Tribolium castaneum: one gene and its partner. The protein of the gene in region 1 interacts with the protein of each later gene in a pairwise test. Links are inferred from orthologs where the notes say so. Each region holds a gene or a part of one and is shown in the gene's direction. Other genes may lie near its edges. The genes, in order: betaggt-I and Fnta.

The links.
Region 2: the proteins of betaggt-I (region 1) and Fnta interact in binary tests that used the Homo sapiens proteins (3 or more experiments, as listed by UniProt). The link is inferred for Tribolium castaneum from reciprocal best matches to the Homo sapiens genes PGGT1B and FNTA.

What each region holds. Positions count from the first base shown.
Region 1 is NC_087397.1:10,033,174-10,036,420, reverse strand, and holds the end of betaggt-I (geranylgeranyl transferase type-1 subunit beta), read left to right. Parts: intron 1-2,077; coding exon 2,078-2,554; 3' UTR 2,555-2,595; downstream 2,596-3,247. UniProt on the Homo sapiens protein: Catalyzes the transfer of a geranyl-geranyl moiety from geranyl-geranyl pyrophosphate to a cysteine at the fourth position from the C-terminus of proteins having the C-terminal sequence Cys-aliphatic-aliphatic-X.
Region 2 is NC_087397.1:1,730,969-1,734,573, forward strand, and holds Fnta (protein farnesyltransferase/geranylgeranyltransferase type-1 subunit alpha), read left to right. Parts: upstream 1-1,432; 5' UTR 1,433-1,511; coding exon 1,512-1,647; intron 1,648-1,693; coding exon 1,694-1,817; intron 1,818-1,865; coding exon 1,866-2,099; intron 2,100-2,145; coding exon 2,146-2,346; intron 2,347-2,397; coding exon 2,398-2,698; 3' UTR 2,699-2,951; downstream 2,952-3,605. Other genes in the region: Kv channel-interacting protein 1, read left to right, coding at 55-165; glycerophosphodiester phosphodiesterase 1, read right to left, coding at 3,400-3,556. UniProt on the Homo sapiens protein: Essential subunit of both the farnesyltransferase and the geranylgeranyltransferase complex.

The sequences.
Region 1 (3,247 bases):
TGTTTAAATTCGTCTTTTTCAGCCAAATAAAGACTTTTAGCTCTTTCCACCAAAAGAACTTTCGAAAACTTACTTATTTGAAACGCTATTTTACACAATTTCTTAATTTATTGCTGAATGGATGTAATTATTTTTGTTTTTGTGTTTTTAAGACTGGAATGACACCATCTACTGATATTGATTTGATTATTTTTGCCAAAAAGTAAAATTCATAAGTTGTTTTTCCACAGGTTTTTTTGGGTTGCGTAAATTGTAATTCAGAAATAAAAACAATTAATATTTTGGGCTAGATTTTGGGTTTAAAATTTAAAAATACCACAGAGAATCACAACTATACGTTCTTCATTATTATCATTGCGTTTCTTTACTTAAAAGCTTTATTTTAAATTGAAAAATATTTGCATTTTGATTTTACAAATCCCTACATACAGGGAAGATTCTATTTTGATGAACATTTGCATTTCTATTTATAACTGTTTGCAATGCATCGACATGGATTTTTTAAAACTAAACATAGTATGATACAATTAATAGTGTTATGTGATGTTCAGTAAACTAAAAACCTCAGTGTATGATGTTCTCTTAAATTTTTGGTACAATGAATTACATCTGATCTTTTCTTACATACAGCTGAAAAAGGTGAATAAGAATAAATTACTCTTACATCTTACTCTTTCCAAAATACCAAAAAAAACAAGAATTTTCTTATAACTTTTGACTACGACAAAATAAAAAAAACTCTTTAAACTACTCTTCAACGTTCTCTTCCTCTACCTCTATGCATATACGCCATCCCTTTGATAGTTTCATAATACCTTAAAAAAAAAAGTTTTTTGGCTTAGTGCGTAGTCACTTATGTACAAGAGGTTCTATCGAGCAATTTAAACACTAAAAGAAATTTTTTCAATCTAATATTACGTATCAGAAACTTGAATCCGTCATTTCACTCCAGAATCCAAAAAATCCAATTCAAAAAAAGCCACTAAAGGCCAAAGTTGTGGTTTCAGATGCAAACAATATGGCGTCTCTATTTTGAAAGATCCAGGGCGTTATATACACGGATTTTTTGGAAGACAAACGTCCAAATCAATGCCCCTTTTACTATTTTTAATTGATATCTGAAAAATTTATCCCTCGAACAAAAAGACGGGATTTTTCAGCCCGATCGTAATCAGCCCATTTGTCCACAAAGATCGTGGAAAAATTGCACTGAAAGACACCTCCATAGCCCCTTTATAGTCTTAAGATGTCACCTTGTCATTATTTTTTTTAACCACCTACAGAGGCAAAATTTTGCGCATAACCGGCTCACGCACTCGGCCCAAAAACTTCTGTAAAACAGGTATTATGGAACTACCAAAGGGATGGCGTTTGTGCATAGCGGTAGAGGAAGAGTTCGTGGAAAAGAAAATTAAAGAATTTTCTTAAAAAAAATTTCAGTAAAAAGTTATTAACTATTTCCGGTTTATATTTGAAGTCCTCTCGTACATACGAAAAATGCTTTCTCAAATCATCTATTACATTTTTTTAAATACTGTGATCACGATCACTGATCTGAATTACAAGTGATGTTTTCGTAATTTAAATTTGCTACTCAGAGTTGCTGTTGATCTTTTCTAAAATACATGTTTCTAATCTGAATTTCAGTTGAAAAAATTGTAGTGTAAAAGATTTGCTCTTTCAATAGTAATTAGTTTAATTAGAGTGTGCTACTTTGAGTACACGTCACTTGAATTATTAAATTATTATTATTAAACAAAATATGATTGTGAATAAAATAGCCAGTCAGGGACGGAATTTGAACTGAAAATTTTTGGAATATTTGATTTTTCTCAGTTCATTGTCCTCCCTTGACAATAATAATATACCGAGTGAAAACCCATTTCATTATTTTTTTAATTTTTGAAATCGGGCCTTAAACAAAAATTCTTCAGGCCTGAAGTTGATAGTTAAGGTTGCCAAAATAAAATTTCAAATACGTCACCCGGTACAACCCTCGGGCTCCATCTAACCCCGATTCCTTTGCCCTCGGGCTAATAAAACATTTCCCACCTCGTCAGTAAAGTACCATTTACAGTCATACGACTTCGGCATCGCACAAGGCCCCCAACTGGAATCGCACAGCGGCTCAACTTTTTGTGCCGTAGCCACCCTCGCCTTAACCAAGCAATTGCACAGACTATCTCCCCCCCAGCTGGAGGGCCTGAAACGTTGGTTACTAAACCGTTTCGAGAACGGTTTCACCGGCCGCCCCAACAAGCCCTCGGACACGTGCTACTCCTTCTGGACAGGAGGGGCCCTCAAAATTTTGAACGCATATCAATTCATTGAAGAGAAGGACAACGACCAGTTCATTTTAGTAACGCAGGACCGTAACGGGGGCTTTTCAAAATGGGTCAACACGGCCCCCGACGCCATGCACACGTATCTGGGCCTCGCAGGCCTGAGTTTTATGAATGAGACTGGAATAAGCAGCGTTTTCCCCGATTTGAACATGTCGACACGAGCGCACGAACATTTGTTAAGTTTGCATAGGAAATGGAGGGGCTGTTGAGACTTATACAATACGATTTTTACAAATAAATATTTACATTACGGGTTGTTTTATTGGTTGCATAACCTTGACCCGAGCTTTGGAAGCTCCGCCAGTGGCGCTCTCTGTGGCGATTTTCCCCGCAGCTAGTTGCCGTGAAAGAGGGGCGCAGAGCAGATGTGAGTAGCGAGTGGCAGTGAGTGTGTTGTAAACAATCATTTCTTTTGAAATTCATAAATAAGCGAAATTTTATTGATTTGTATTGACATCAGCAGGACGCACTGTAACATTCCCGCTAATCGGCTCTTTTAATTTTGTAAGTGGTCTAATTATTTTATTTTTTGCGGGGGAGTCAATAATGTGTCGGCGCAAAAGTGCACATTTTTTTGATTTGTAATAATTGTTTTATATTTTTTTGTGTGTTACGAGTGAGTGGAGAATGATTCATAGGCGGCTATCATCAGCCACTCCTCAGTATAGAAATTCACACCAATTTATAGTCAAGGTTTGAATTTTATCCAAAAAAAAATTCTAATAAATTATTTATGTTGATTTTGCAAAATCGTGGCATGTATGAGTAGCATTTCCTTGAATTAAACAAATCAGCCGAGTGTTTGCGCTCTTCCGCATTTAATTACGAATGCCACCTTCCACTTGCGATATTAACGTCTTTTTAACAGACCAAGGAGACGCCAACTGTCGTAAAACTGGCGC
Region 2 (3,605 bases), about 8.3 Mb from region 1:
ACATGGGCATTCGCCGATAACCGCCCCCTATCTCATGAAATTTTACGATTGCAGAAAATGGACAAGAATAAGGACGGCGTCGTCACTTTGGACGAATTTCTCGAGTGCTGCAGGAAAGACGAAGACATCTCTTCTTCCATGGCTGTTTTCGATTCATCGATATGACGTTCACCAGTCGGCGTTCGTCCACCGCCCTCCTGGACATGAACGAATGCCGACCGCGATACAATGACCAACGTAATTAAATTATTTAAAACAGTGATAAATTAATAACAAAACGATTTATGAAAAGCCAACAAGCTGCGGTGTGGGACGAATTACCGGAACGATAACTCATCTCGGGGTTCGCTGGCTTTGCGGTTCGTTTGACACCGTAAGTTTGTACATTTATACCAAATTTCTTACAGTTTTTATAAAAGAGGATGTAGATAAAATAATATATTTTAAATATATAGAAACTAAACATCAGATAAATATAGCATAGATAAATAACAAATATTATTTAAGCAAATGTACCTATCGCATTTTTGCATTAATTACCAAAAAAAATTGCTGCTAATGCGGTTTATTTATTCTGCTAAAAGTCGCTTGATTTGTAATAAGATTACTCAACCGTTTCACCAATGGTTTAGAATTTTTGTTACCCTAAAGTAGATATTTTTATATTGTCCAACAAAATTGTGGAATTGGGTATAAAGCTTTTAAAAGTTTCCCCAAAATTCGGGTATTATTCGGGAAACGTCTTAGCGATATAAATAAAGCGACGATATCATTACTAGTGAGCCATATTCGTTAGACATATCTGTATGTCACTATATAAAGTCTAGATTATATTATTGTTGATATATGTAAGACTGTTCAATGTACTAGGATCTAAATGTGTGATGTATGTTAGTCAAAAGATTGACAATATTTTGGTTAGAAAAACCTAAGATACCTAAATTATGTAGCTTTTTTATTACGACAGTTATTTTATAATGGAGCGTCTATGGTGCTATGTACCAAGTTGATAAGGATAATGTTCTTCTATATGTTGTTAATGTTTATCATTTCTGTATATGTTTAATGGGTAAAAATTAGAGCTGTGCCAAATACGAACGTTACAAAAAAAGCTGCAAGGCGCAGATTACGTTTATTTGTAGTAAGGCTTACTGTTACCAAAATATGGTCGAGATAATCCACGCATATTCCTAATCCTCATCCTAATCACTGTTTATATCTGTATAGAGTAGTCTAAGGCCCATTTTAATGTTACCCATCTAAATAACTCATTGTTATTTGTAAATAAGACAAGTCAGGAGATCTATTATGTACTCATTTTTAATGTTATAAACATATTACAAACCCTACTCGCATATTTTTTTACCCCGCAACCAATTATACACCCAACTGGCCGACTGTATTTTTCGGACGCACGCCCACTCGGCCCATAGCAAAGAGCCCTGCGTCAAACTATTGACAATCCGAATTTTGTGGTTAGGTAAAAAAGGGGCGACTTTTTGATTGAAAAAATGGGTGAAAGTAGCAGTGACGAGAGTGATACCACATTCCAGCTGTACAAAGACCGCCGGGAATGGAAAGATGTGACCCCGGTGCCCCAGGATGACGGGGATCAGCCAATAGTCGCAATCGATTACACTGAACAGTGTAAGTTTAGTGCACACCTCAACTTTGTAACTACAAAAACTTTCAGTTAAGGATGTTTTTGATTATTTCCGAGCTGTTTTGCAAAGCGGGGAGAAATCGGAACGGGCCCTGAACCTTACCAAGGACGCTGCGGCCCTAAATCCGGCGAATTATACAGTTTGGCAGTACAGGTAACTGTAATTTATTGGGCGATTTTTTGGGTCATTTTCGAATTTGAGGCGTGAAATTTTGAAAGCTTTGAATAAGGATTTGAACGAGGAGATGGACTTTATTGAGAAGATTATTGTTTATAATCAGCCGAAAAATTACCAGGTTTGGCACCACAGGAAGGTGCTAGTGGAGTGGCTGCAAGATGCAGCAAAGGAGAAGTACTTGACTGAGACCGTTTTAGCGAAAGATGCGAAAAATTACCACGCCTGGCAACACAGGCAGTGGATAATTAAAACGTTCAAGTACGTTAATTTACTTTTTTGTGTAACCGTAATTATTTTTTAATAGTTTGTATGATGGAGAGCTTGAGTACATTGATAGTCTCATTTCGGACGATATCAGGAACAACTCAGCTTGGAATCAAAGATATTTCGTAGTTATGGGCACAACCGGGTTTACAGAAGAAGTCTTAAATAGAGAAATTGACTACGCTCTGTCCAATATTAAAGTCGTAACAGAGAACGAAAGCGCTTGGAATTACTTAAGAGGGTATTTCTAACGTTTCCAGTAAACGCAATTGTATTAATTTTTCCTTCTTAGCGTGTTATTGCATGATAAGTGTGGCCTTAGCCGCAACAAAAAAGTCACTGAATTTTGTGAGGAATTATACAACTCGGGAAACAGGTCTCCATTTTTATTAGCCCTCCTTGTTGATATGTGTTCAGAGCAAGTTTCCCAAGGCAATGAAGACCCACTTTACAATTTGGAAAGAGCCAAAAATTTGTGTAACGAACTTTCCGAAAAATATGACACCGTCAGAGCGAAATATTGGCAGTTTATGGCCGAAACCATTGAGAAGAAAAGCAAGAAGGAGGAGTCACAAGTCGAAGCAGAAAATTAAAAATAAAGTCGATGAAAAAATTTCTGTGATGTTTACTTATTTTTGTATGTGTCTTAAGTGTTTTCCATCGTTGTATTTCTTTCTAAAGCGAAATATGCCACCGTGAACGTCCTCTTTCTAACGATGTAATGTTTTTTCTTTAATTAAAACGTCGCAAATGTTAATCTTTTTGTACGTATTTTTATTACAAGGCAATTTATTCCATTGCACATTTTCGAAAGCCAGTAATTGTTAAATAAATGAATAAAACCACTTTACGTTTTATTTTAAATACACTTGTCCTTGGCATACGTTACGTCCTTTTTTCTTCCAATTTTTCAATGAAAGTAGAAAGAAAAAATTGGCTTTGTGACGGAAGATTGGGAAATGGACAGGAGCTGATTAAGTTGATTTAAATTGTAACAATTCATAGATATAATTTTATTTACTTTACCTAAATACAAAATAATATATTTGTATATGGCATAAGGAAACATGCTTGAACTCCTTCAGACGCTCAAAATTATGACACAATAAAATCAGTTAATTTTAATCATTAAAATCCGCTTGCGAATAAAAAAATCATTTTTTAAACCACAGAAAAAACGAGATCATGTTTTTGGCTAAAATTGTAAAAATGCGGAAATTGCTGCCCTTATAATTAGCCTAAACCCCGCTGCTGCCCATACATCCAAAAACCACCAAATTATGTCACTTTTTATTTACAAAGGAGGAGTATGTGTAGTCCCTTCACCCGTTAAAGTATCAGTAAGATAAGTAATTTTAAGCACACGTGCAAGAAATTGCTTTTCAGCCGGCGTATTTACCGTCCAAGCCATCACCCTCAATCCCCTTTTGCGCCAATCGTAGACCGTACGTCTAAAAATAATTCAATTCTAAAAACCGTCCAAGTTGCATTTTTCCATTC